Macaca fascicularis: one gene and its partners. The protein of the gene in region 7 binds, or shares a complex with, the protein of the main gene of each other region. Links are inferred from orthologs where the notes say so. Each region holds a gene or a part of one and is shown on either strand. Other genes may lie near its edges. The genes, in order: transcription initiation factor TFIID subunit 13, TAF1D, TAF4, GTF2B, TAF11, TAF12 and TBP.

Region 1 (4,197 bases), on a different chromosome or scaffold from region 7:
TGGTGGCTCATGCCTGTAACCCCAGCAGTTTGGGAGGCTGAGGCAGGAGGATCACTTGAGGGTAGGAGTTTGAGACCAGCCTGGCCAACATGGTGTAACTAGTCTCTACTGAAAATACAAAAATTAGCTGGGTATGGCTGGTCATGGTGGCTCAGGCCTGTAATCCCAGCACTTTGGGAGGCCGAGTTAGGCAGATCATCTGGGTCATGAGTTTGAGACCACCCTGGCTGACATGGGGAAACCCGTTTCTACTAAAAATACAAAAAATTAGCTGGGGCTGGTGGCGAGACAGGGTCTCACTCTTCTATCACTGGGGCTAGAGTACAGTGGCATGATCACAGCTCACTGCAACCTTGAACTCCTGGGCACAAGTGATCCTCCCACCTCAGCCTCCTGAATAGCTGGGGCTATAGGTACACGCCACCATGCCCAGTTAATTGCAAAAAAAAAAAAAAGATATACTGACCCTGTAGTTTCAAGGGCATTTGGGAACTGCTCACATATAACCCCGCCTAAATAAACCATATTCATAAATCTGTGTTGCCTCATCTCTCAATACTTAGATATAACTTTACATAAAGGACCCAGGACTGGAGATGGAGAGCACATTCTCATGCTGTGTTCCAGGGCTTGGCCTGTACCATCAGTAGTAGCAGCAGCTCTCCCTTCCTCTTGTTGCCAAAAAGGGTCAAAAGCATCTACTGAGGGGGTAGGATGCAGAATCAATACATTATAATCTCCATGTCATTATTTATTTTGCTTATTTATTTATTTATTTTGGACACAGGGTCTGGTTCCGTCACCAAGGCTGGAGTGCAGTGGCGCAATCTGGGTTTACTGCAACCTCCACCTCCTGGGCCCAAGCCATCCTCTCACCTCAGCCTCCAGAGTAGCTGGAACTACAGGGGCGTGCCACCATGCCCTACTAATTTTTGTATTTTTTGTAGAGAGAGGGTTTCACTATGTCGCCCAGACTGGTCTTGACCTCCTGGGCTCAAGCGATCTGCTTGCCTTGACCTCCCAAAGTGCTGGGATTACAGACGTGAGCCACTGCATCTAGCCTCCATGTCACTCTAATGTCTTACACTATTCACCACCTTCTTCTTTTTTTTTGAGACAGAGTCTTGCTGTGTTACCCAGGCTGGAGTGCAGTGGCATAATCTTGGCTCACTGCAACTTCTCCCTCCTGAGTTCAAGCGAGCACGTCTGGCTAATTTTTGTATTTTTAGTAGAGATGGGGTTTCATCACATTGGCCAGGCTGGTCTCAAACTCCTGACCTCCAGTGATCCACCTGCCTCAGCCTCCCAAAGTGCTCGGATTACAGGCGTGAGCCACTACACCCAGCTGTTCACCACCTTCTTACTTTGTTCATAGCCTTAGTCCAAAGCCCAAGCCCCAACTCACTTGCTACTCTCCCTCAACACCTGGTGCAGGATCCATTAGTATCTGTGGCTTACAGTCAAAGAAGCCTCTCTTTCTACTGCTGCAAAGGCAAGAGGAAAACTAATGGAGGTATGTTCTTCTGCCCTAAATTAAAACACGAACTACATTTGCTCACCTAAAAAGCAATTTATACACAGACACACATACACACACATATAACTGGGGTTAGGATTGGTACTATCTGATTCAAAAGCTAAACAGAATTTGATAGGCTAGTCTGAGAATATTGTCACTACAGGGAAACATTCAAAGCAATAAATGTACTTGGAAAGGATATGTCCAAAAGTTTTCATCATCTATAACAAAATCATTGTCAAATACTACTTACATTCTTTAGAAAAAAGCCTCTTTCTTTTACCCTGTCCACCTTCTGCACCTCCTCCAATTTCTTCATTTTCTTCCTCAAACTAGAAAACGTATATATAGAAATGTCAAATAATTGCCTTGCATTTGATATTTTAATAATAACAATGTTTTTTCCTTTTCAACAGATAGGCCAGAAAGCCTAAAGGAAGCAGAAAAAAAAAAAAAAAAAAAAAAAAAAAACACAAAACCTTAGCACGTAAGCAGCCTAGGTATCGAGTCCAATTTCCAACTCATCCAAAAATGGCTTCTACAATGTTCCTAACAAATAATCCTACTGCTTCTACGTGTAAGAGTTACAATGACCATAGGTTTTATTTTTAAACAACTAAGGTGGCCTATTGCTACTGTTAAACAGTTGATACTGAATCAAAGTCTACCTTTGTAGACTTTCAATTAAGCAAAACTAATATTTACTAAGCATTTGCATATACGGTGCTAAAAACGTTCCTTAAGTAAGCCCGTAACCCTATTTTGTAACAAGAAAACTGATTGTCAAAGTTAAATAACTTGCTTAGAGAGAATGGAGATTTTGAAATCCAGGCTGTCTGACTTTCAATGCATTCTTTTCCCATTACTTCACAGTAAGTACAGTTTTGTTAACAATTGAACTGTTGGTTCATAGTGAGCGCTAATAGATGTTAGTTTTGACGTCTGATGATTCTGTAAGTGTTTCAGTGTCTGGCAAATAAAGATCAAAATCAAGGGGAAAGGGGTCACAAAACCTACTCTTTCTTCATGTCCTTCCCCACTTTCTAAAATGATCAATCCTTAGGGAGTGAAGTCCCCGAATTCTGTCGGCTGAATTGACTAAGGCAAGCAGATCCGATCCTGAACTCTGCCTCCGCTACTGAGCCCGAAGGAGTGAAGAAAAGAGAGGTTCTGGACACAGACGGTCACTCACGGTGGGGTCTTCTTCCTCATCTGCCATCCCACTAGCCCGCCAACCCACAGCGCCCCGCCGGCTGGTTCTCAGCGGGTTACGCTACTTCCGTCGCCTCACTTCCGGTGACGGGCGGGGCTGGAGCTGGGCCTAGCTGACTGAGGCCTGCGGAAGGACGGTGGTGCTTTCCGGCCTAGCGGCGGAAATGCGACAGTCTTTAGCGGAGGAGGCCGGAGCTCCTCCCTGTAACACTGAAGGAATTGAAAACTAACAAAGAAAAGGAAATCACGGGCTCCGTGGGATGTATCTCGTTGTCACCCTAAATTTGCTACTGCGCATTGAATCACGCCTTCCTGTTTGGGGACTGCGAAGCTATGGATCGTAGGAGGGCTAGCCAGCGGTCCTTTATCTGACATAAATGCTTTTAAATCATTTTAAAGAGTTGTGGTTCCACTGTTTCTAAGCACTATGTTAATTACTGGGGATACTGTGCTTCACCACAAATTTCCAAGAGATGGTGTCCCAAAACTAAGCATTTAAAATTTTGTGAAGGTTTGTTTTTGTGTGTGTGTGTTTTTTTTTTTTTTTTTTTTTTTTGAGACCAAGTCTCACTCTGTCGCCCAGGCTGGAGTGTGCGGTGGCGAAATCCCGGCCCACTGCAACGTCCGCCTATCGGGTTCAAGCGATTCTTCTGCCTCAGCCTCCCGAGTAGCTGGGATTACAGGCGTGCACCACCATGCCCGGCCTCATTTTTGGTTTTTTTTTTTTTTTTTTGAGACGCAGCCTCACTGTCCCCCAGGCTGGAGTGAAGTGGCACAATCCGGGTTCACTGCAGCTTAGACCTGCTGGGCTCAAGCCATCCTCCCACCTCAGCCTCCAAGTAGCTGGGATTACAGGCACACACCACCTATGCTCGGCTAATTTTTGTATTTTTAGTAGATATGGGGTTTCGCCACATCACCCAGGCTGGTCTGGAACTCTTGATCTCAAGCGATCTGCCCCCCTCGGCCTCCCAAAGTGCTGGGATTACAAGTGTGAGCCACCGTGTCCATTGGGGAAGGCTTTTGGTCGGAACAATGGTTGGGAAAACCACAGGCATTGGAAGGCCAGAGCTAGGGATATAAAATATGTGTCCTACAGTGTAACAGATGATGCTACATAAAGAAAATCCCGCAATACACACGATTTCTGAATGTCCTGCTGAACATTCGGTGAGTGAAAAGTAGTTATGTGAGGCTTGAACCTATCTTTGTTAATAAACACAAAGCGGCTGGGCGCGGTGGCTCAAGCCTGTAATCCCAGCACTTTGGGAGGCCGAGACGGGTGGATCACGAGGTCAGGAGATCGAGACCATCCTGGATAACACGGTGAAACCCCGTCTCTACTAAGAAATACAAAAAACTAGCCGGGCGAGGTGGCGGGCGCCTGTAGTCCCAGCTACTCGGGAGGCTGAGGCAGGAGAATGGCGTGAACCCGGGAGGCGGAGCTTGCAGTGAGCTGAGATCCG
Region 2 (4,242 bases), on a different chromosome or scaffold from region 7:
TGGTGCAATCACAGCTCACTGCAACCTCAAACTCCTGGAACTCCAGGGATGCTCCTGACTCAGCCTCCCAAGTAGCTAGCTAGGACTAATGGCATGCACCACTGTGCTCAGCTTAGCAAAAAACTATGTATCTTTTAAGATAACGTATGGCTCCACAAAGGCTGTATGGTGTATGAGCTCCACAAAGGCTGTATGGTTTGGTTCACTGCTAAGAGTGAGTAAAACAAACACAGCCTACCAGACAGAAACAGGAAGAGGTAGTCTGGAAGAGATGCTAATATGACCCAAAGAATACATTTTTTTCTTGAAGAATGTGTCCCATTATAATATATTCACATTTTGAATTTAAAGTATTTGCAATGCTATTATCAATCTACATTAACTAGATAAACCTGGAAGGTCAGTGAAATCTGGTTTTCCTTCTTTCCCAATTCCTGAAAATCATCTTTACTGTCACTCATTATATAAAATAATTTCTCATAATTCAGATACAATAAATATGATTGAATCCACTCAGTTCTCCAGTAAAAACCCACTTACCTTTGATTTGCAAGTTCCATAGCATCAGATGTCACATGGTCGGTAGAATCTATTCCTGATTTATCCATCAATTGCTTTGTTTTATAACAGTTTTCTGAAATTATGAAATTTAGTAAATGTGACAAAGCTTCCCTAAATATTGACACAGTATCTACTATAATATTCAACATGGTCAGACTATGCCACTGATTTTAGGCAAAATCATTTGCCGGGGTTAACCTTCTTATCCATTTCAGATCAATTTCTTTAAAAAGAAATCCAGAAATTCTATTCACAGGTTCTTTCAGTTTTTACCCTCTAAATGTATTCAATGGAACAAGATTCCAAAAAAGTACTGTCACTTCCAAAAAAAGCATCTTTCAATATAAGTAGAAAATACAGTTTTATCATTAGCCACTTACTAACGTGCAATTACCAATACAGTATTAATGTAAAATTAAAAACCATTTTCCAAGATCAAAGAGGGAATTCCTAAGGCAAAATGTGCCCTATATAAACCAGGAAAAGGATCTCCAATCAACAGACCCTGATCACCTCTCCATTATAATTCCTAGATTCTTCATTCCTAGATTCATTTAAGTAACTGAACTTTGTCATACTGTATCTTTGCCATTATTGGTGGAAACTGACAAGTTCTGAATTCTCAACCTTTTTCAATAAACTATCATAATTCTTTGTGTTTTCATCCCCATGGTAGAGTATACAACATGCCAAAAAAAGAAGAAAAAAAAGATTCCTTCTTGTGAGCTAAAAGAAAAAACAGGTTGGTCTGGGTGGCTCAGGCCTGTGTAACACAGCACTTTGGGAGGTCGAGGCGGGCGGATCGCTCGAGCCCAGGAGCTCAAGACCAACCTGGGCAACGTGGTGAAACTCCGTCTCTACAAAAAATACAAAAATTAGCCGGGCTAGTGGCGCGCGCCTGTGGTCAGGAGGCTGAGGTAGGTGAATACCTGAGCCTGGGAGGTGGAAGTTGTATGTAGTGAGCCTCAGCACACAAGGAGACCCTTGTCTCTACAAAAAATTCTTAAGATACTGGCTAGGTGTGGTGACCCGTGCCTGTGCTCCCAGCCACTCGGGAGGATCGCTTGAGCAGAGGTGGAGGTTGCAGTGAGCCGAGATTGCACCACTGCACCCCAGCCTGGACGACAGAACAAGACCCTGTCTCAGAAAAAAAAAAAAAAAAAAAAAAAAATAGGCATGGCAACAAAAATGAAGGATAACTACTTATTTCACTATTGTACTTGCCTTAGTCAATCTCTTGTCTCATTCTGTAGCTTCTTGGGACCTAACATGAGTCATTGCATATAAATCCTAGGATGAACTAGCAAAACATTTAAAATATAAAACGATAAGGTTACCAAGAGCTCAGATTTGTTAAATGCCCAATGGACCCCTGTGGTAATTTTCTGGTAGTACGTCTTATTAGCTTAAGTACAGGATTCTACGAAGTCATTATATATCGAATGCTCAAAAACGGAATTCAACAAAAATTTGGCCCCATGCATTAATGGTATACCTGTGGTTAATTTTTTTTTAAAGTAGGGATTATCAAAATAAAGCTAGCTCAAGAATCACTTTTTTCTTAGTGTTTAGAAGACACTCCTACTTGGGTGTCGATGCATCCGCTGGAATTCTGCAATTCTTAGAGGCCACGTGGGCAGAAAGCGGCGCTTTACCCGGAGCTAATTCTGTGACCACCAGCGCGTCTCTCCGGGCAGCGCCTAACCTCCAGGAAACCGGCGCTATCAATGGGTACCTCACATATGAAGGTTAAATCATTTAAATTACGTTAAGAAGGTTAAACTTGTCTGCAACACGTTTTAACACCTCCATCTCAAGATATAATGAAGCCCGCCCACACTACAACCACGTTTGTGGGCCTCATACCAGCCGCGTGGCGCGGAGTGGCCTGCAACCGTGATCCCTTCACCCTCTCGGCCCGACTTCCGAGGCTCAATCCTCCGGAACAACGCAGGGGCCGAAACCCCAGATATGCAATGCCTCCCCTGCCCAACAAGCCCAGACGGCCTTGCCCTCTTGGCAACCTACCTAAAACCGCCTCACACCGGCCCCAACCGCGCACTTGCTGCCCGTAACCCAGGCCTCGGGCCAAAACCTGCGACTGGCCTGGTGCGTGAGTCCTGGAGATTTGCACACACCACCCTCCCGATTTCAGTCCTCCAACTCCGGAAAACTAGCCGATGTCCTCCAACCGCGCGGAAGAAAAGGGTGGGATATCCCCGCGGCCCAAGTAATAGTCAGGCAGAAATCTCGCGATACAATTTAGCTCCCGGGAAGAAGGCGAGCGGTGGGAGGAGTCGCGACGCGGGGGCGCCATTTTTCTCGCCGCGCAGGGAGGAGCGACTAACGTGGGCGGAGCTGTAGCTCGCTTACTCTGAGGAGGCGGGGTTGGCGTAGGCGGAGATCGGGATTCTGGTGTTTTGCTTGCGTGACCGATTCGGTAAGTGGAATAGCCAAGAACATTTCGGCAAATAACAAAAAGAAAATGTGCGGCCAATTGTGAGTGGATGAGAACTGCGAGGAAACAGCCTCTCAGCCCGGGTCGTTTCCGGTGGTCTCGCGTTTGCTGAGCTGTCTCCCGGCTTTCTAAACCTGGTCCCGAGTATGTGGTGAGGGTGACGGGTGGGATGTGTGAATGAGTGTTTTGTCATCCTGTGTCTACTTTTGCCTTCAAAACCCTTGTGTGTGAAAATATTCGGGAAGGTTACTCGAAGTTTGTAACCTTTGTGCTGGACGCCAGTGTTATGCCGTAGCACGCCCAGGTCTCCTCCCCACCTTTGCACCTGTTTCGGGAGCTCACCCTTTCTGCCTCCCAGGAATTGGCTAACACGTCACAAGTGAGACCTGTGGAGGATTTCTTTTTCCTCAGTTTCCTCCTACATCCCCCCCGCCCCCCACCATTAGTTCCTTGACCAGTTCCTGAGTTAAGATTAAGCTGTGTAAACTAGTTTAGTTTTGGTGGGGTTTTTTTCTTCGAAAGTTTTTTGTTTTTTTTTTTTGTTTTTCGGTTTTTTGGGGTTTTTTTGAGACCGAGTTTCGCTCTTGTTGCCCAGGCTGGAGTGCAATGGCGCGATCTTGGCTCACCGCAAGCTCCGCTTCCCGGGTTCAAGCGATTCTCCTGCCTCAGCCTCCCAAGTAGCTGAGATTACAGGCATGTGCCACCATGCCCTGCTAATTTTTTTGTACTTTTAGGAGACACGGGGTTTCTCCATGTTGGTCAGGCTGGTCTCGAACTCCTGACCTCAGGTGATCCACCCGCCTCGGCCTCCCAAAGTGCTGGGATTACAGGCGTGAGCCACCGGCCTCCCAAAGAAATTTTTAAAAGGATTGAACTGGTTTGATTTTTCTGGTTTCAAACTTCTGTTTTCATATGATACACCGCAAAAACCAGTAAAGCTGTCTAATCTTATTTTATAGTTTACATCATTTTAGGATAGCGCGTGCCTTAAAAGTAATCTGGTCTCTTTACCCTCCTTTGCTCCATAGATTGGACAATTTCGGGGATAAAAAGTCTGACACTGCATTTGATCCACAGGGGCTGGGCAGTGACTAAGCTCCAGGACTGGTATGGCATGTCCCTCACTGCCATATTCAGCAGCAAGCCTAGCTCTGTAATTTGTGAGGCTCAATGCAAAATGTAAATGCAGCGTCCCTTGTCCAAAAAGAAGGGGAAAAGTGGTA
Region 3 (4,166 bases), on a different chromosome or scaffold from region 7:
TCCAACAGCTTGTCACAACGGGCGTCTCAGCAACCCCGGAGAAGTGGCTTCTCAGCCCTCTTCCTCCCTGGAGCACTGCAGCCTAGCGGTCTCCCAGACAGACTCTCCCTACCCCCGCCCTGTCCAGTCTGACCACCAGCCCTGAACTTCACATACTCGGACAGGAAAACCTTTCACTTCTGAAGATGCTGCAAACCTCTCAAAGTGACCAATAGCTCCCTTCAGAGAGGGGACACAGAAAAGACCCACGCTCTCCTCGAAGTTCCTACTACTGCTGCCACCGAGCTGCTACAACTGCATGGCGCGCGTCACCACAGGCCGGGGAGGAGCTCCCCTGCCCAGCACCCACCAAGGCGGCTGGGGAGGGATGGGGAGCCCCAGACAAAAGCAGCCTAGCGTGCAATGCTGGTCAGGCAATCTTTCCCGTCAAACTTGAGGGGCCCTGAAGAGTCGCAGAGACAGCAGACTAGACCAAGAGCGTGAGTACTGCCAGGCAGAAGGGGCGTCTGAGCCCAAGGCATCCGCAGCACAGCCAGTATTACCCCGAGACCCCTGCACGGAGTGAGAGCATCTGCTGCCACCGCCCTCCCACTGCCCTCCCGAGGGGGCAGCAACCAGACTAGCTGGGCGCTCTTTCCTTTAGGCACCAACGCAGCGCTGGAAGAGACGGTGACACACACGGTGCTGAAACCCTACTCCAGAGCATGGCTCTCAGCAAGGCTGCGCGCCTGGAGGACTCTCGCAGGGTGCGCCCGACATCTCTGCCTTCCTGGTGGCCAACAGGGAAGCCCAAGCCTTCCATCCCGACTTCCCGAGCCTCGAGGAGGGGGTGTCGTGCCCCCGTCCTCGCCTGGAGACTGGGGAGGCTCAAGCCCAGGGTCACAAAGGGGTAGAAAGGCTAAGTGGGGACACAGGCCACACGCCTAACTGCAGAACTGAGCAGGGGACAGTTGCTGCCACTCGCACCTCCAGGTTCTGCCCTCAGCTCTGCAGACCCCATCGCCTGGCCCAGGGAGCCCCTGCGCTGAGCCTTCCAACCGGGGCAGGGGCACACAGGGCGGGAGCAGGTAAGGACCGCTCCAGTAGGAGTCCTGGCTGAGCCACTCCGAAACAGACCAGCCCCAGCCACAGGCAGCCACCGCGGACGTCTGGAACAGCGACAGGGACGCAGACTATGCCGACTCCCTCTGGCTCACTCGCAGGCAGCCACCCGGGCTGGCCCCGCACCTGGGTAGAGGCTGCCCCTCGGCCTGCTCCAGCCACGGGCCTACGGGACAGATGACCTTAGCATTCCACCAGCGGAGAACTTCCTGGAACTGGCAGCTGGCGCTGCTGGGACCCGCCCTTCCCTCCCGCCCCGTGCGGCCACTCACCTGGGGGCAGCTGGAAGTTCTGGATGTTGGTCGGGTTCTGAGGCGGCTGCGGCAGGCGGGGGGCCAGCACGGTGGGCGTCAGGGTGGCCCGGATCCCGCTGGTGGTGGCCGTGGGCGTCCGGGGCAGGCTCTGGGTCACTGCGCCGGCCGCGCCTTTGGGCAGCCCGGTGGGGGTCCCGGGGGCGGGCGGTGGGACGGCGGCGGGGCTGGGCAGCGCCCCTTGCATAGTTGGCCCGATGACCATGCTGGCAGCCGTGCTGGCCGGGCCGCTGGCCGCCAGGGTCTGCGCCGCCGGGGGCGCCGCCTGCACCACCGTCTTGGGCGACTCGGCCTTGACCCCCGGCGCTGGCGCTGCAGCCGCCGCGCCAGGCCCGGGCTGGCCGCTGACCCCCGCGGGGCCCCCGGCGGCCGGGGCGGGGGCGGGGGCTGCCCCGGCGCTGCCCCCGTTCTGGGCTGCGGCAGGGGGCGGCGCAGCGGGCGCGGCGGTCGGGGGTCCGGCAGGGTGGCCGGGCGGCCGCGCCAGGGTGGCGGGCGCGGGGGGTGGCGGGGGCGGGGCGGCGGCGGGGGCGGCGGGCGCGGGGGCGGCGGGGGGCGAGGGCGCGGCGGGCGCGGGGGGCGCGGCGGCGCCCACGAAGGGGGGCGTCTGGATGACAGTGCCGGGGGCGGCGGGCTTGGGCAGCGGCAGCAGCGCGGCGGGCCCGTTGTTGACCAGGCTGACAGCAGGTGCGGCGGCGTGGTGCGAGTTCAGCAGCGCGGCGCTCCCATTCAAAGTTTGCGCGGCGCCGGGGCCGGCGGGCTTGCCAGGGCCAGGGCCGGGGCCGGGCCCGGGCCCGGGGCCGGGGCCGGGGCCGGCGCGGGCGGCCAGCGCGGTGGGGCCGGCGGGCTTGGCGGGGCCGGCGGGGGCGGGCTCGGGCCCCGCGGCGACGGCGGCGGCGGCGGGCACCGGGGCGCAGGCCCCCGCGCTGCCCTCGGGCGGCGGCCTCAGCTTCGCGGCAGGCGGCGCGGGCCCTGCGGGGACAAGGGGGCGGCGCGGTGAGGGGGGGCCCGGGCGCCGCGGCCCCCCGCCCCCCGGCCGCGCTCTACCTGCGGGGGGCGGCTCCGGCGCCGCTCCGGGCGCGCCCTCGGCGGGGGCGGCCGGCCCTGCGCCCGCGGCTCCGGCCGGGCTGCCGCTCACAACATGGTTCCCGAGCGCGCCGGCGGCCGCGGCCCGCACCTCGGGCGTGCGCGGCGCGAGGTGGTGGTGGTGGGCCGCGCTGGCCGCCAGCTGCGACTCGAGCGAGCCCACCAGGTCGCTCACCACTTTCTCGTCCACCTCGCTGTTGAAGAAGACCTCGTCCAGCAGATCCGAGCCCGCCGCCATCTTTTTTCCTCGGCCGCCGCCGCCGCCGCCGCTCGGGCCGAGCGCGCCTGGGCGAGGAGGAGGTTCCGAGTGGGGCGGGCGCTGGGCGGGCGGGGGGCGGCGCGCGGCCGGCGGGGGGCGGGGGCGCGCGGCCGGGGGGCGGGGGCGCGGGGTGGCGCTCCTGCGCAGGCGCGGAGACCGCGGGCGCCCGGCGATTGGCTGCGGTGCGCGCTTAAAAGGCGCGGCCAATGGCTGCGAGCGCTAGAGGCCGGGGCGCGGGCGGTCGGCCTGGGCGCGGTAGCAGCGGCGGGAAGCGCGGGGGCTGGTGCTCGGGGACGCGGGAGCCGGGGCGGTGGCGGGCAGGGCGGGGCGGTGGCCGCCGGGCGGGGCGCGGGATGCGGGGACGGTGCGCCGGGCCGGGCCGAGGCGAGCGCGGGGCGGCGACGGGGCTTCGCTCTTTGTCTCCGCTCGCTCCAAAATGGCTGCGGCGGCGCTGACGGGAACGCCGGGCGGGCCGCCCTGTGCGGTAGCAGCGGAGGTGCAGGGCCCGTCCGAGGCCCGGGGAGCAGCGCGCGGGGATGCCGGGGCGCCGGCCGGGCAGCGCGCAGGCCCCGGAGTGGATGGGCCCGAGAAGCAGGCGGGGACGGGGACGGGGCTCTCGCAGCGCGCCCTGAGGACGGGGACCGGCGCCCGGCCCCTCCAAGCCGCCGCGGGGAAGGAAGCTGGGTCCGCCCCTGGGTAGCCGGTCCCGGGCGGTGGGGAGGGGTCCTGCGCGCACGGCTCTTCTCGCCCTCCAATCGTGACCACCCCTGGCCCTTCCCTCCATTTTTAATCAATAAACTAAGCCGCCCCGGGGTGACTGTACCCGCACCTAGCTGCCTTGGAGACGGGAGTGTCATTATAAGCCCGTAGGTAAGAGCACGGTGCCTGCCAGGCGCCAAACGAAGTTCCCGAGCTGGCAAATCTGGAAGTAGCTTTCTTTTTACGTTCTGCTGGGGGAGGGGAGTAAGTTACCTAAAATGTTCCCAAGCACCTTCTCTCTAGAAATACTTCAGTAAAAGTTCCAGTTCTCTCTTTCTGCGTGTTTTATTTTCCAACCAAAAGATGGTGTTATTGGACATTTCTAGTGGTTTTCCTTTCTCCCATTTCTTTCTAAGAGCCCAGAATAGGTTTCAGAGAGACGCTTCCTTGCCTCGGACCTCACTGGGGACAAGAGGCCGCAGGATCAGTCTTCGCAGCTGAAGACAGCGCCGCAATAAGCAGAGACCTCGGGACGATGAATGACGTTGCTGACATAGAAAATGATTTTTTTAATTGTTGTAGCAAAGGAGACTGCTAGTCTCAACAGCAGACCCGAACTGGACCCTTGTGCCTGTTCGAATTGCAGCCTCGCAAGGGAATGGACTGACTGAGACAGCTGGAATACGGGACTTCACCCCAGGCTTGTTTCTCGA
Region 4 (4,254 bases), on a different chromosome or scaffold from region 7:
TCAAAAAATAATAGATAATAAATGAAATGCTCTTTAGTCTGTGAGTATACCAGTAAGCCTAACAAAGAATAAAAAAGAACCAGGGATATGCAGATTCTACAACATGAGATTTTAACATCCAGAAATTAAAATCTATTGATCTGCTGCTGCTATTAATTTACCAGCATCATCTTCTCTGCTCAGTAAGTTCACTGAGAAAATCACATACTTAGAACATTTTAATGTCTGTCAAGCTGGTGCCTTTCAAAAGGTCCAAGCTCATCACTTCTTGTTTAATAGACATATTAATAAATCTCACATATGAATCCTTTCAAACTGGACACTAAATACGATGTGGATGTTAACAATGGTTCTCAAAAGCTTTTGCTCTTTCCATGAATTTATTAAAATAAAAAACTATGTATATATAAGTAATGGAAATAAAGCTTTATTAGCTGCAATGATTTGCATTATTTATAATTATGTATAAGTTAAATGTAACATATAATTATAACAAAAACTTTAGTTTTGAAAAATGTTTTATTCAAGAATTACATAATTTCAAATATCTTCCAAAATACAGTTTCCTAGATTGCTACAAAAGAAATTTGATAAGAAATTTAAATCATTAAATATGTTTCACTGGTATATATACATACAGAATGCCAAGCAATAGTATTCAGCCCTGGAATGCGTACCATGTCTGTTGTTTTTCCTCATGAAAGGCTCAACCCAGCATTTTGTATAGGCTATGTACAACAGGCAAAGTTCTGTATTCAAGAATTTGACGTTAGCTGCCTCAATTTATAGCTGTGGTAGTTTGTCCACTGGGGTGTCAAATTTGAAGTCTGTAGGAAACAGATCCGGGGCTCGAGGATAGATAAGTCTATAGGACTGTCTGATTGTAACATCAGCAACACCAGCAATATCGCCAATTTCTAAAAGACAAAAATCAAAACATTAACCGTCATTTCCATCCTACCTCCTTTCTACTACCTGCATTGTCATTTGTGAGATATGATTATACAGTATAAAGCGCCAAACTTAAAAACAAAACCAGAAGTGATTTCTAAAAACTGATAATGGAAATACATACTAAAAGGTAGAAAGCAGCAGCTAGGCCAGACACAGTGGCTCACGCCTGTAATCCCAGCACTTGGGGAGGCCGAGTTGGGCAGATCACTAGGTCAGGAAATCAAGACCAGCCTGGCCAACATGGTGAAACCCCATCTCTACTAAAAATACAAAAAATTAGCCAGGCGTGGTGGCGGGCGCCTGTAGTCCCAGCTACTCAGGAGGCTGAGGCAGGAGAATTGCTTGAACCCGGGAGGGGGAGGTTGCAGTGAGCCGAGATCGTGCTACTGCACTCCAGCCTGGTGACAGAGCAAGATTCCATCTCTAAATAAATAAATAAATAAATGTTTAAAAATCCATTTTAATAAAGCATTCATAATGCTTAACCAAATATTGACTCAAAAAAAAAAAAAGCGGGAGCTAAAGTCAGTAACCAACAACAATAAAAATGATAGCAGTAGTTACTACCTTACAGAGCTGTCAATGTTTTAAGGAGTTTAATATAAAATATATGAACAGGGTTCAGGACTTAGTATTAGGAGTGTTATCTTATTATACTGGGTATCGTATTTACAACTGACTGCTCCTTTTTCTTTATAAATCTTTCTGATGATCACAAAGTACTCCACAAATACATTCTTGTAAAGAAATTCACTTTTTATTTCTGTGTTTGAAAGTTCCCATGCAAAATCTCCTCTAGCTAACTTCTGTTAAGAGGTCCCTATTAAAAACAAAATGTTACACTGTAAATATTGTTCTACAGTCTTTTTTTCTACTTAATACATCGAGGTCAAACAGCTACTTATAGCATACGGAGATGCTTTTCACTGATACAAGCACATAAGCAAATATTATTAGCTCAAACGAACATTTCTAGTCTATTACAAAATCCTAATAGATCCACTTTTACCCTTTAAAGTCACTGTCCCTTTTTTCCTTTCAAAGTCATTAAAAGAAATACCAAAGGACTGCCACTACAATATTTGGTTAAGTATTATGAATGCTTTATTAAAATGGATTTTTAAACATCACTTATATATTTAAAGAAGGAATCTTGCTCTGTCACCCAGGCTGGAGTGCAACGGCAAGATCTCGGCTCACTACAACTTCTGCCTCCCTGGTTCAAGCGATTCTCCTGTCTCAGTCTCCTGAGTAGCTGAGGCACCTGCCACCACGCCCAGCTAATTTCTGTATTTTTAGTAGAGGCGGGGTTTCACCATGCTGCCCAGGCTGGTCTCAAACTCCTCACCTCAGGTGATCCACCTGCCTCGGCCTCCCAAAGTGCTGGGATTACAGGCATGAGCCACCATGCCTGGCCTAAACATCTTTTAATACAAACTCATTTTATCACCTTTTCACAGTTGATTCAAATCAGTGAGGTTTTAGTGATTTTCACTGTGAATGCCTGCCATCACTGTACAATTAGCTAATTTTAAATTTCCTTATCTCACACTGCATTACATTATTCTACATCTAAATACCAATAAATGGCAACTATTTGAATATCAACTGCCTGCTGTGCAGGGAAGAGAAGGACCTTACATTTGAAGACGACTTTTCATATAAAGCTAAAAAGCAGAAAGCACCAAGATTAATGTTTCCATGTTGTTCATTAGAATAAACTTTACAACTAGAAATGTACCTCAAGGACAAACTGCCTAACTGCAACTTCTCAATTTTACTAAAAGACTCAAAATTTCCTTAAAACTAAGTGAAGGCCAAAGGGAATGGATAATGGCTCCTTTAAATAACTAATGATTGGCTTCCTCTTTCTAATTATTCCTATCATTTATTATTTTTTCAACATATAGCCTAAGCTGAAGGCTGTTGTGAATAGAGTATTACAAAGTTATTGAGGCCAGTAATTCACTAACTCACTTTCTGTTTGTTTTTTGAGACAGTCCTGTTCTGTCTCCCAGGCTGGAGTACAGTGGTGCAATCTAGACTCACAGCAACCTCTGCCTCCCAGGTTCAAGAGATTCTCATGTCTCAGCCTCCCAAGTAGCTGGGACTACAGGTGTGCACTACCATGCTGGGCTGATTTTTGTGTTTTTAGTAGAGACAGGCTTTTTGCCATGTTGGCCAGGGTGGTCTTCAACTCCTGGCCTCAAGCAATCCACTCACCTTGGCCTCCCCCAAACTGCTGGGATTACTTGTGAGCCACCACGCCCTGCCACCTTTTTTTTTTTTTTGAAAAAGAGCCTCACTCCATCAACCCAGGCTGGAGGGCAGTGGCATGATCTCAGCTCACTATAACCTCTGCCTCCTGGGTTCAAGTGATTCTCCTGCCTCAGCCTCCCTACTAGATGGGATTACAGATGTGTGCCACCACACCTGACTAATTTTTTTGTATTTTTAGTAGAGACAGGGTTTTGCCATGTTGGCCAGGAGGCTGGTCACCGCACCTAGTTTATGAATTTCTTTACATGCATTTGTTTATGAATAACTTCTATAATCCTCAAAGATTTAGAAAGGAGTAGTCACTTCTAAATTTAAAAGGGAGTTAGTGGGCCATGCGTGGTGGCTTGTGCCTATAATCCCAGCACACTGGGAGGCAGAGGCAGGCGAATCACATAAGGCCAGGAGTTCGAGACAAGCCTGCCCAACGTGGTGAAACCCCATCTCTACTAAAAATACAAATATTAGCTGGGCGTGGTGGCACGTGGCTGTAGTCCCAGTTACTCAGAAAGCTGAGGCACGAGAATAGCTTAAACCCAGGAGGTGGAAGCTGCAGTGAGCTGAGATTGTGCCACTGCACTCCAGCCTGGGCAACAGAGGGAGACCGTTTCAAAAAAAAAAAGGAAAAAGGAAAAGAAATTCACTTAATACTTCTGGTGAAAGTTTTCCTACAACACTAAATTTAAACATGGTTTTAGAAGGCTGAACCACTTATGTCTACTTACTTCAGAATTTGTATTAAGAAACTGTAAAATACTGTACAAGATGGGAAAAAACCAACCTTAAGAGAATGTTAAAGGCTGATGGCCAACACATATTTTACAGCGTGTCTATCTGCAGGATCCCATGCCAAGCAGTGAGAAACAAAGCATGCCTCCCTGACCCCTAAGATTTAAAAACGTAAGTTTGGGGAGGAAAAGAGTATGATCAAGAGGATATATTTAGGGAGAAAAAAGAACTTGTAAGAATAAAAGATGTACAAACTAAAATAATTCAAATGGGAAAAAAATTAGGTTTACAGGG
Region 5 (4,038 bases), about 140 Mb from region 7:
CTCACTGCAGCCTCAAGTGATCCTCCCGTGTCAGCCTGCCAGGTAGCTAGGTCTGTAGGTGTGACCTACTCCACTAGGCCCTTTATCTGGTCTCTTGAGTCAGGTGCTTATTTGCAGTATCTTCTGGTTGTTAATAAAAATATGTAAGGCTATACATTTTTCTTTAAATAAAGCTTTGGCCAAATCCCATATCATTTGATAAAGTGTTCTGTTAATTTCTTTAGTCTAAAGGCTATTTAAAAAATAGTTTAAAATTTCCAGGGGGTTCTTTTTTGGTGGGGGAGAAGCTTTTTGTAGTTAATTTCAAGTTTAATGCATTGCATTAACAAGATGTGGCCTGTTATGATATCTACTTTTAAGAATTCATATTTTTCTTCATGGTCTAGTACATGATTGATTTTTAAAAGTGTTTCAGAAACAACATAATTTTATCCTCTGTTCGGTGCAAATTTATATATGTAGTGAGCTCTCTAGTGTACCAAGCTAATTATTCAAATCCTTGCTGTCCTTGACACCTGTTTTAAAGTTTCCTTCTTGGCCAGGCATGGTGGCTCCCACCTGTAATCTTAGCACTTTGGGAGGCTGAGGCGGAAGGATTACTTCAGCCCAGTGAGTTGGAGACCAGACTGGGCAATATAATGAGACCTTGTCTCTACCAAAACAATATTTAAAAAACCTTTAGCTGGCCAGGTGCGGTGGCTCATGCCTATAATCCCAGAACTTTGGGAGGCTGAGGCAGATGGATCATGACGTCAGGAGTTCAAGACCAGCCTGCGCAACTTGGTGAAACCTTGGCTCTACTAAAAATACAAAAATTAGCTGGGCACAGTGGCACGTGCCTGTAATCCCAGTTACTGGGGAGGCTGAGGCAGGAGAATCACTTGAGCCTGGGAGGCGGAGGTTGCAGTAGGCCGAGATTGCGCCATTGCACTCCAGCCTGGGCAACAGAGCGAGACTCCGTCTCAAAAACGAAACAAAACAAAACAAAACAATACAAAAACTTCAGCTGAGCGTGGTGCAGTATGCTTGCAATCCCAGTTACTGCGGAGGCTGAGATAAGAGGGTTGCTTGAGCCCAGGAGGCAGAGACTGTGCCACTGCACTCCAGGCTGGGTGACAGAGTGAGACCTTGTCTCAACAAACCAACAAAAACTGCCTTAAAGGAGCTTGCAGTGAGCCGAGATCGCGCCACTGCACATTCCAGCCTGGGTGACAGAGCGAGTACTCAGTCTCAAAAACAAAAACAAAAACAAAAAAAGAAACCTGCCTTAAAATACTTTTGTCAAATGTTCTCTTTTTCTTTTTTTCGAGACGGAGTTTCACTCTGGCACCCAAGCTGGTGTGCAGTGGTGCGATCTCGGCTCACTGCAACCTCTGCCTCCCAGGTTCAAGCGATTCTTGTGCCTCAGCCTCCTAAGTAGCCGGGATTACAGGCGCCTGCCACCATGCCCAGCTAATTTTTGTATTTTTAGTAGAGACAGGGTTTCCCCATATTGGGGATCTCCTGACCTCAGGCGATCCACCCACCTCCGCCTCCCAAAGATTACAGGCGTGAGCCACTGCACCCGGCCAAATTTTCTCTTTTTCTAAAAGTTCTTACTTTATATATTTTTATGCAACTTTATACACTGAAAGGCTATTTCCATCTAATCTACTGTTCACCCCACGATCTCTTAAATCCCTTCTAGCTCTAAGACCCCAAGATTCTACTTCCAGAAATGTAATCCAGAGAACGATGAGTTTCTGGTCCTGACCAATGTTCAGCTAGGCAACACTGCTGAACTCTCTGTAGCATAAAAACACCAGACCCAACTGATGGGTCCCTGATCACCGGGTGCTGTGGCTCACACCTGTAATCCCAGCACTTTGGGAGGCCGAGGCGGACGGATCACGAGGTCAGGGGTTCGAGACCAGCCTGGCCAACATGGTAAAACCCCGTCTCTAATAAAAATACAAAAATTAGCCGGGCATGGTGGTGTGAGCCTGTAATCCCAGCTACTTGGGAGGCTGAAGCAAGAGAATCGCGTGAACCCGGGAGGCGGAGGTTGCAGTGAGCCAGAGATCGCGCCATTGTACTACAGCCCGGGCGACACTTTTATAAAAGTCTATCTCCCTTTGACAGGTTTGATCGACCCTCCTTCCTATAAAGAAACAAAGTTGTCTTAACATCTAAGACGAACCATATTGCGGTGAAAGGGGTGCTACGAATCCTGGGTTTTAGCTCTTGCACTGCGTCTCAGTGTGACACTGGATCCCAGTTTCCTCACCACTAAAGCCAATAGGCTATTAAAACTCCCTTAGAAGTAGCTTTAATCCCTTGACAAGACTAAAAATATTAACGCAGTGCTTGAGCCTCTGGAACGGAACCAGCACTGGAGTTCTGTTTGGTCGTCCGCTCTCTTCCCCCTCAAGATTAACGATCTGGAGGGAGTTCTGGTGAGTTCGAGTTCTCGTAACTTGGGAGGGACTAACCAGAAGCCCGGCAAGCACCCAGTAACACGATCTCTGGGTATTCCTTCAGCCTCATCGATACATCTCTTCCTACCTCGCCTTCCTCCGCTGCAGCTTCTTTCAAGTCCGCATCTGCGTCTCCGTCAGTTTCCTCTGGGATTCCATCCGTGTCGGTAGCCCCCGGGTCCCCGGACGCAGCGGCCGTCTCATCCGACTCCCCTGTCTCTCCACCTTTGTCGGAGGGCGACTCGCGGGCATCGTCCATCACGGATAGGATTGGAGGGGAGAGGAGATCGCGGCGATGTCTGAGGCAGAAGCTCGGAACCCCGAGCTGCACAGGACAGTATCTTACTTCCTGTCGTCGCGCAGCGATGACATCACCCCTACCGCTCTCCTGAGGGGTCATTTTGAGGCGCGCGTAGAGGACTAGAGGACTCATTTTAACTTTGGTTTGGCGACAGTGGGAAGCGGGAAAATTGGACGTAAAGAGCTCAGACTATGGATCCTCCTAGCTAGGAAACCAGCACTTGTGAAGGAGCGCAGTTTTGTTTACTAAATAACTTTTTCCTTTTCGCCTGTCTAAAAATTCAATACCAGTTAATCCCTTCGTTAACCCCTCAGAGTAAAGTTGGGGGATCGGGAGAAAACTCAGTTCCGTTGTATGGCGGTGTCGTGGAATGAGGCTACCCGGGATTGGTAAACTTTCAGGCAAGACTCAACCTTGTGTATTTCAACTGGCCCGAAACCGCGGGTCTGTGTGTACGTGGAATTGCTAGCATTTCCGCTCCATTCAGCAAGCACCTTAACAACAAAAAGTCATCTAGCTTGAGCAGAATTTATCCAATTCATTTATTCATCCACAACTATTGACTGCGTACTTCGATTTAGAAACAGTGCTAGTACCAGGGAACAAAACACACATAGTTTCTATCCAATTAAATGATTTTTTTTCAGTTCGCAAGTATTCAAGATTGAGGTTTGTTTCTACAAGTCTGACACTTTTCTATCATTTTGGTTAATCTTACCAAAACTAAGAGGAAAGCCTAAAGAGAGGAAGGTGTCTCCTTCGAACGTTTCACTTTAACGAACTAGTTCATGTACTGGGAGGATGAAGTGGTGAGGATATTTCTATTTTAAAATTTTCTTCTCTTCCCTCATAGAGATACGAGGGGGAGGGCGTTTTATTCACCTGGGTATGACTAGGTCCCAGCACCTATTACATATTTAATTTATGCGTGCTTAAAGAATGTCCTTGGAAATGTAGGTGCGCGTTACCATATTTATCTCTTTGTTTCTGCGCTGCCTGGACGAATTGCCGTATTTCCTGTCCCAGGAGCTCCCAAAACGTTTAGGGAAGGAGCGCACTTCGGGAGGCGCGTACAGGTGGGCCTGTTTGTCCCTTTCCACCTATATAATGGGGACCCACAAGGCGCTGTCCCCATAACCCGTGAGGCCTGTCTCGGCACAGCAAAATCCACCTGCGCTGGTCCGCGGAGCCCCGCCCAGCTAGGTGAGCTAGGGGGCGGGGCGCGGGGGCGCGGTGACGCGTGACGCCGGATCCCGGAAGTGACGCGCTCGTGGAGAAAAG
Region 6 (4,263 bases), on a different chromosome or scaffold from region 7:
CTACAGGCGCCCGCCACCTCGCCCGGCTATTTTTTTGTATTTTTTAGTAGAGACGGGGTTTCACCGTGTTAGCCGGGATCGTCTCTCGATCTCCTGACCTCGTGATCTGCCCGTCTCGGCCTCCCAAAGTGCTGGGATTACAGGCTTGAGCCACCGCGCCCGGCCCAGGCAAAGTATTTAACCTCTCTAAACCTATTTCATTATCTGTACAACGAGACTGACAATATCTAACTTGTGGGGCTGTGATAATTAAATCATAGAATACTCAAAAGTACCTAAGCTGTGCCTGGTTAGTCTGAGTAGGTTTCAGAAAAAGATATTAATATTGAAGTAAGTGACTGGTGCAAGTCTCCCCACCATTCTTATCCAAAAGCAGCCATCCCTAGTAAATGTTTGCACTAAAAATGCAGGACACACTTATTTATGGCTTTCCAAACAGCTTATTAAATAAATAAATAAATAACACTGAGCTTTATTTAAAGGTTCCAGCCAGGTGCAGTGGCTCATGCCTATAATCCCAACATTCTGGGATATCAAGGTGGGAGAATCACTTGAGGACAAGAATTCAACACCAGCCTAGGCAACACAGCCAAACACCGTCTCTACAAAAAAACTTAAAAATTAGCTGGGTGTAGTGGCTCATACCTGTAGTCCCAGCTACCCAGGAGGCTGAGGCAGGAGGAGTGCTTGAGCTCAAGAATATAGGTTGCAGTGAGCTATGATGATGCCACTGCACTCCAATATGGGCAACAAAACAAGACCCTGTCTCAAAAATATAAAAATAAAAATAAAGGTTTCCTTACTATTAAGTGACATTTACTGTATCAATGTCAATGCAGTAATAACACTCAAAGTATCAGAAACTGTAAAAATTTCCAGTTTTTACTGGAAATAAAAACTGGGCCAGGCGTGGTGGCTCATGTCTATAATCCCAGCACTTCGGGAGGCTGAGGTGGGCAGATCACTTTAGGTCAGGAGTTCGAAACCAGCCTGGCCAACATGGTAAAACCCTGTCTCTACTAAAAATACAAAAATTAGCTGGGCATTGTAGCACACACCTGTAATTCCAGCTACTTGAGAGGCTGAGGCAGGAGAATCTTTTGAACCGGGGAAGCAGAGATTGCAGTGAGCTGAGATCGTGCCACTGCACGCCAGCCTGGGTGACTCTGTCTCAAAAAAAGAAAACTGGAAGCGGGGGGAAGTGACTCATGCCTGCAATCCCAGCACTCTGGGAGACCAAGGTGGGAGGATCACTTGAGCCTAGGAGTTTGAGACCAGCCTGGGCAACATAGTGAGATCCTGTTTCTACAAAAAATTTAAAAATTAGCAGGGTGTGGAGGCACATGCCTGTAGTTCCAGCTACTCAGGAGGTATATATAGGTGGGAAGATTGCTTGAGCCTAGGAGGTTGACGTGCATGGTGCCAAGATTGAGCCACTGCACTTCAGCCTGGGCAACAGAGAGAGAACCTGTCTCAAAAAAAAAAAAAAAAAAAAAAAAAAAAAAAAAAAAAATTCCCTCCTGAGTTTGAAGATAAAGCAAAGATTCTGGAAGCATTTAAGGAACATTAACCAAGCATCTCATTTGCTACGCACAGAAGGGTACTGTATTAAAATTATGATCTAACCATTGCCTCACTGTAATCCTAAACCTCTTTGAACCTTAGCCTCCTTAAATGTAAAATAGGAGTTTTTAAAAGATGATCTTTTGGGACTCTTCCATCACTGACATTCTTTTACTTGAGATGCAGAGATCTGTGCTCATTCAGGGTTGAGTGGAATGGGATTTAAAGCACTTATCAAGTATATAACTGAGTTCCAACTGTTTTCAACTTCACATCTGATTCCCAAGAATGAAGCAGAAAATGAAGATGTTTGCATGTGGGCTTCCTAGATTGAGTATCTAACACAAGAAAAGCCTGCCAAGAGCCAAGCAGGCAGTGCGAAGGAGAAGTTGTCTTCCCCTGAATACGTCCTTTATCTCTCTGGGTTCAGGGAATACTGTGGAAAAAAAAATGGATCACTAAATATTTTCCAAACCCTTTCCCTTTACTTTCTAGGCTGATCTCACATCCATGGTCCCTTAGATCCAAGGCTTTTAGGAGCTTGGGTCCTCACCGCCCTGTTCTGAGACTCAGGTACTCGGAGTCTCAAAGCCCGGATCCCGTCCCCAAAGAAGCCCCAGTCTTCACTGCCCGCTTCTGTTCCCTTCCAAACTCAAGTTTTCTCTGTCTGCTTCTGCCCCTCAGGAACCTGAGTCTTCGCTGCCCCGTTTCTGAATCCTTAGGAGGCCGGGTCTTCACTGTCCCGCTTCTGCCTCTTAGAAGCCCAAGTCCTCACCGCTCCACTTTTACCTCTCCGGAGCCCGTGTCTTCACACCCCGTTCCTTTCCGACCCTCTCCTCGTAGGAGTGCGGGTCCTCATAATCCTGCTCCTCTCAGACCACTTTCCCTCAGATGCCGGAGAACTCAGATCCGTCCCCGTTCCCTAAGTCCCGTCTTGGAGCCCAGGTCCCCACAGCCGCGTCTTCTCCGAGCCTGATCCTCTGTCAGTCCCTTCCCAAGAGCCTGAATCCTCACAGCCCCGTCTCGTCCACAACCTGGTCCTTCGAACACTGACCTACTGTAGATCTGGGTCCTGACTCCCTCCTCCCGCTCTTGTTCCTCAACTGCCAGGGCCCAAGACTCACAGGCAGCAGCGTCTATCTCCCCATGATATGCGGAGACTGCCCCAGAGAAGCGTTCGTCTCAGCAGCCGGTCCGACTGCGCGGCCCTCCCCGACTACTTCCGGCACCGCTCCCCGCCTCCAACCCGGAAACGCGCGGCTCTTCCGGCCGGCGGGCGCGCGCCTCGCTTGCGCAGGCGCAGACTGCCCTCCGACACGTGGTGGCGATCTTGAGCTGTGTGTAGCTGTAGCCTGCAGCTTGCGCTTTTAACTGCTTGTAGTTGAGTGGCAGCATGAGCGAGCTCTGCGTATTCCACCCCGGCGTTAAGAATCCTTCACTAGCTTTTCTTCCCGACTCTGCTTATTTATCCATCGGTAGCATGACGGGTAATTGACGCCCTCGGATGGCTTTGAGGTCGCCATTTTTGGTTGGTGCCTTTGTCATGGTGTCAGGACCAGGATATCATCTGGGACACATTACCCCACAGGTATCCTGTTGAACCTCAACGAGGAAGTTGGCAACACAGGAACCGGGAGATGAGACAGATCGGTTGGTTGTGCCTGTGAACTGGCAATTCAGTAATAACAATTGACTGCTGACTGTTTGCCAGGAATTGTGCTAATCGGCTTACCTCCGTTACGCCATTTAATCAGTTAGAGGAGACCTGTGAGAGATTAAGCAAAATTCTAGCTAATAAGTGCAGAGCCTCAGCTTGAACTCAGACCTCACTACTAAGCCAAAGCCTATCCTGTAGCATTCTCTACAGGACAGTTTTTTGCTGTCAAATGCTTGGTGAGAATTGCTTTTATGTGGCTCACGCCTGTGATCCCAGCACTTTGGGAGGCCGAGGCGGGTGGATCACGAGGTCAGGAGTTCAAGACCAGCCTTGCCAAGATGGTGAAACCCCGTCTCTACTAAAAATACAAAACAATTAGCCGGGCGTGGTGGCACGCGTCTGTAATCGCTACTCCGGAGGCTGAAGCAGAGAACTGCTTAAACCTGGAGGGGCGGAGGTTGCAGTGAGCCGAGATCGCGCCACTGCACTCCGGCCTGGGTGACAGAGCGAGACTCTGTCTCAAAAAAAAAAAGAGAGAACTGTTATTTTTTACTGTATGCTGGAATGTTAGGTATGCAAGTCAGACCCAGTTCCAGCATCTGTAAGGTTCACAGTAAAATGGAGAAGAACCCACAAACACACCAAAAAATGTATAAAGAGCTGTGGGCCGGGCGCGGTGGCTCAAGCCTGTAATCCCAGCACTTTGGGAGGCCGAGACGGGCGGATCACAAGGTCAGGAGATTGAGACCATCCTGGCGAACACGGTGAAACCCCGTCTCTACTAAAAATACATAAAAAAACTAGCCGGGCGAGGTGGTGGGCGCCTGTAATCCCAGCTACTCGGGAGGCTGAGGCAGGAGAATGGCATAAACCCGGGAGGCGGAGCTTGCAGTGAGCTGAGATCCGGCCACTGCACTCCAGCCTGGGCTACAGAGCGAGACTCCATCTCAAAAAAAAAAAAAAGCTGTGACAGGCCAGTGTGAGCCACAGTATCTGCCAGCAGAAATTAGGAAAGGTGCCCAGATTGGTGCAGCATCCTGCCC
Region 7 (3,500 bases):
TTAGCAAAAAAAAAAAAAAAAAAGGCAAAACCCTGCTTTCTCTTCTAATTATCTCTCAGTAAATAAGGATAAACGGAGCCATCTGGGTCCACTGACCCTTTACATTTCTCAGTGTTCTTACATCACTTAATAAATAACTTATACAAGGATAAAGATATACTAAAAAGCAACTCTATTAGAAGTTTTAATAAAAATTTAAACAAAAACCTACATTTTCATTATACATTTTTTCTGCTTATGAAAGTATATATACTTGGCCAGGCACAGTGGCTCACGCCTGTAATCCCAGCACTTTGGGAGGCTGAGGTGGGCGGATCACGAGGTCAGGAGATCGAGACCATCCTGGCTAACACGGTGAAACCCCGTCTCTACTAAAAATACAAAAAAATTAGCCGAGCATGGTGGCGGGAGCCTGTAGTCCCAGCTGCTCAGGAGGCTGAGGCAGGAGAATGGCGTGAACCCAGGAGGTGGAGTTTGCAGTGAGCTGAGATCACACCACTGCACTCCAACCTGGGCGACAGAGCGAGACTCCGTCTTAAATAAATAAATAAATAAATAAATAAATAAAGTACATATACTTGAAATGGGCAATGTCCTTTGAATGCAATTAACTGCGCAACAAGTGTCTTGCATGGACCTGGCAATCACCATCCCAAGAATATAGAGTCCAGATTTCAAATACATAGGTTCAAATACAATAGGTTATAGCTCACTGTTGCTTCTGGTTCTTTTTCTTATACTGTCAAAATGCAAAACTTTTGAAAACTTGATGGCTCATAATTTTGTTCAAAAGAGAATGGCAGTCTATGATACACAACCGTAAAGCCAATTAGGTTGATCCACACAATGTTTTCATTTCCATATCATCTCTTTCCTTCCAATCACCGTTGTATACACACCTGGCTTTAGCATTTGTCCACTGATGAACTATATCAAGTAGATTTTAGTACATCTATCACAACTTTCATCACATAATTGTTAAATGTATTCTTATATGTTTTCATTCATGAAATATTTGCCTTAATCCCTCTTAAGCCTACAAGACTGAGAGGGCACTGAATTACCACGCAGGAGGGTTCTTAGTAGAGAGCAGCTCAGGGACGTGGATGACTGGATGCTCTCGGGAGTATCAGAACAACAAAGGCACGGCAAGAAACAAACACCTGACTGTACTGTTTATACTTTATTATTTAAATCAGAAATGCAAACTTAAATTTTCCTGGGAGTCCGACAAGCATGCTGGACACATGGGAGCGGTACAGACAAGGGTGAGCTAAAAAGGGCTGTCTCTAAAATCACTAAAATTACTTTGTTTTTAAAATTGTGTGTGGGGTCAAACAAAATTGTAGAGGCAAGATTTAGGTCTTTGGGTAAAAGTCAGCATCCACGATTACACACCACTAAGTTCCAAAAATGATCAGAGATAGCTTATAAACAACAACCATATATGTAGCAAGGTGAATAAATGCAAATAGGAAATACTAGATCTAAAGGGAGTATGAAGGAGGAAGGTATCTGTACAAGAAAACTGAGGAGATGCAGAGACTGCAAGTAACCTTTTAATTTGGTCATAAGCTTTCTAACATGAAAAGCTGCACGCTTCTTATTGACGGGGATTATTTGGAAATATTTGTTGTTTTTTCAGGAAGATGAAATTATTTCCTATCCCTAATACCCTGTTACATATAGAACCCACTTCACTTAGGTAGAAAAATCCATTTAGGACAAGAACAGTCATCCTCATTTTGTGGGAAGGACACAGACCTTCAAAGATTCATATGCAGTCCCCACAGTAAAAATAAAAAACAAGAACTGCCAGAAATTATACTGATACTGTGACTAAAGACCTAAAATAGCATAAGGGAAAGAGACTACATAACATTGTGATTTGGCGATATCAGATACAGGGAAATGTCTATAATATAATAATAATGACAGTGAAAATCACATTAAATTTTATTGGCTCAGGTATATAAACACAAATGACCACATTCCTAAACCTGTTAAGAACCTTTTACTGAGGGCACTGACTAAGATGGCTTTGCTTCCCTTTCCCAAGTGTGAGATAAAGCAAATTTTGATACACAATTGCTGTTAGTGCCATTCCCTCCCTTAATAAAAGGATCCATCAGAAAACAGAGCAGGAACACAACTCAAAGGGACTCCTAAGTGGGAGGAAACATAAAACACCAAGTACTCACTGCAGCTGCGGTACAATCCCAGAACTCTCCGAAGCCGGAGTGGCAGGAGTGATGGGGGTCATGGGGGTCACGGGGGAGGGATACAGTGGAGTGGTGCCCGGCAAGGGTGCAGTTGTGAGAGTCTGTGAGTGGAAGAGCTGTGGTGCCTGGCCTGAGGTTCCCTGTGTTGTCTGCTGGGATGTTGACTGCTGAACGGCTGCAGCGGCCACTGCCTGTTGCTGCTGCTGCTGCTGCTGCTGCTGTTGTTGCTGTTGTTGCTGCTGCTGCTGCTGTTGTTGCTGCTGCTGCCTTTGTTGCTCTTCCAAAATAGACAGACTATTGGTGTTCTGAATAGGCTGTGGGGTCAGTCCAGTGCCATAAGGCATCATTGGACTAAAGATAGGGATTCCGGGAGTCATGGCACCCTGTGGAAAGCAAGGAGAAAAACAGGTTAGGCTGGCTGCTGCTGAGTGTTTGTGGAAGTTTCTTGGTGGAACAGCAGGTGAGATGTGCAAAGACAGACGCCCTCTGAGAATAATGGGGTTATTAATCTTTAATTACGGAAGAACCAGCTATTCTTATACACATTGCTTTCTTCTTTAATACCACACAGTGGATAAACATGAAGAAAAATGGATAAACTGAACTTTGGAAAAATTAAAAACTTCTGTTCTCTGAAAGACACCATTGAGAAAATTAAAAGGCAGGCCACAGATTGGGAAAAAAATACCTATAATACATACATCTGAGAAAGGACTGGTAAACAGAATAATAAAGAGCTCTGACAACTCCATAAAAAAAGATCAACAAATAAAATAATGAAAAAGGACAAAAGATGTGAAGGGCATATTACAAATGAAGATACAGGCATACCTCAGAGATACTATGGGTTAGGTTCCAGACCATCTCAATGAAGCAAGCAGCATGAATTTTTTGGTTTCCCAGTGTCTACAAAAGTTATGTTTACACTATAGTCTATTAAGTGTGCAATAGCATTATGTCTAATAATATGTATATACCTTAATTTTAAAATGCTTTATTGCTAAAAATGCTAACAATCCTGTGAGCCTGCAGCAAGTCATAATCTTTTTGCTGATAGAGGATCTTGCCTCGATGCTGACAGCTGCTGACTGATCAGGGTGGTAGCTGTGGCCATTTCTTAAAATAAGACTGACGAAGTTTGCCACAAGGACTGACTCTTCCTTTCACTGAGATGTCTCTGTAGCACACGACGCTGTTTGACAGCGTTTTACCCACGCTAGAACGTAGTTCAAAACTGGAGTCAGTCCTCTCAAACGCTGCTGCTGCTTTCTCAACTAC

What was found.
Region 1: TBP (region 7) and transcription initiation factor TFIID subunit 13 share a complex: the UniProt entries of both Homo sapiens proteins name them as parts of the TFIID basal transcription factor complex. The link is inferred for Macaca fascicularis from reciprocal best matches to the Homo sapiens genes TBP and TAF13.
Region 2: TBP (region 7) and TAF1D share a complex: the UniProt entries of both Homo sapiens proteins name them as parts of the transcription factor SL1/TIF-IB complex. The link is inferred for Macaca fascicularis from reciprocal best matches to the Homo sapiens genes TBP and TAF1D.
Region 3: TBP (region 7) and TAF4 share a complex: the UniProt entries of both Homo sapiens proteins name them as parts of the TFIID basal transcription factor complex. The link is inferred for Macaca fascicularis from reciprocal best matches to the Homo sapiens genes TBP and TAF4.
Region 4: TBP (region 7) and GTF2B share a complex: the UniProt entries of both Homo sapiens proteins name them as parts of the TFIID-containing RNA polymerase II pre-initiation complex. The link is inferred for Macaca fascicularis from reciprocal best matches to the Homo sapiens genes TBP and GTF2B.
Region 5: TBP (region 7) and TAF11 share a complex: the UniProt entries of both Homo sapiens proteins name them as parts of the TFIID basal transcription factor complex. The link is inferred for Macaca fascicularis from reciprocal best matches to the Homo sapiens genes TBP and TAF11.
Region 6: TBP (region 7) and TAF12 share a complex: the UniProt entries of both Homo sapiens proteins name them as parts of the TFIID basal transcription factor complex. The link is inferred for Macaca fascicularis from reciprocal best matches to the Homo sapiens genes TBP and TAF12.

Annotation. Positions count from the first base shown.
Region 1 is NC_088375.1:125,372,382-125,376,578, reverse strand, and holds the start of transcription initiation factor TFIID subunit 13, read right to left. Parts: upstream 2,801-4,197; 5' UTR 2,739-2,800; coding exon 2,712-2,738; exon of another isoform or gene 2,538-2,711; coding exon of another isoform or gene 2,537-2,537; intron 1,950-2,536; exon of another isoform or gene 1,852-1,949; coding exon 1,773-1,851; intron 1-1,772. UniProt on the Homo sapiens protein: The TFIID basal transcription factor complex plays a major role in the initiation of RNA polymerase II (Pol II)-dependent transcription.
Region 2 is NC_088388.1:92,775,366-92,779,607, forward strand, and holds the start of TAF1D (TATA box-binding protein-associated factor RNA polymerase I subunit D), read right to left. Parts: upstream 2,801-4,242; 5' UTR 2,590-2,800; intron 1,862-2,589; exon of another isoform or gene 1,786-1,861; intron 635-1,785; 5' UTR 609-634; coding exon 541-608; intron 1-540. UniProt on the Homo sapiens protein: Component of the transcription factor SL1/TIF-IB complex, which is involved in the assembly of the PIC (preinitiation complex) during RNA polymerase I-dependent transcription.
Region 3 is NC_088384.1:118,113,312-118,117,477, forward strand, and holds the start of TAF4 (transcription initiation factor TFIID subunit 4), read right to left. Parts: upstream 2,801-4,166; 5' UTR 2,734-2,800; coding exon 1,374-2,733; intron 1-1,373. UniProt on the Homo sapiens protein: The TFIID basal transcription factor complex plays a major role in the initiation of RNA polymerase II (Pol II)-dependent transcription.
Region 4 is NC_088375.1:145,835,540-145,839,793, reverse strand, and holds the end of GTF2B (transcription initiation factor IIB), read right to left. Parts: intron 918-4,254; coding exon 784-917; 3' UTR 501-783; downstream 1-500. UniProt on the Homo sapiens protein: General transcription factor that plays a role in transcription initiation by RNA polymerase II (Pol II). Involved in the pre-initiation complex (PIC) formation and Pol II recruitment at promoter DNA.
Region 5 is NC_088378.1:136,805,552-136,809,589, reverse strand, and holds the start of TAF11 (transcription initiation factor TFIID subunit 11), read right to left. Parts: upstream 2,801-4,038; 5' UTR 2,716-2,800; coding exon 2,545-2,715; intron 1-2,544. UniProt on the Homo sapiens protein: The TFIID basal transcription factor complex plays a major role in the initiation of RNA polymerase II (Pol II)-dependent transcription.
Region 6 is NC_088375.1:206,387,807-206,392,069, reverse strand, and holds the start of TAF12 (transcription initiation factor TFIID subunit 12), read right to left. Parts: upstream 2,801-4,263; 5' UTR 2,618-2,800; exon of another isoform or gene 2,353-2,617; intron 1-2,352. UniProt on the Homo sapiens protein: The TFIID basal transcription factor complex plays a major role in the initiation of RNA polymerase II (Pol II)-dependent transcription.
Region 7 is NC_088378.1:506,202-509,701, forward strand, and holds part of TBP (TATA-box-binding protein), read right to left. Parts: intron 2,606-3,500; coding exon 2,202-2,605; intron 1-2,201. UniProt on the Homo sapiens protein: The TFIID basal transcription factor complex plays a major role in the initiation of RNA polymerase II (Pol II)-dependent transcription.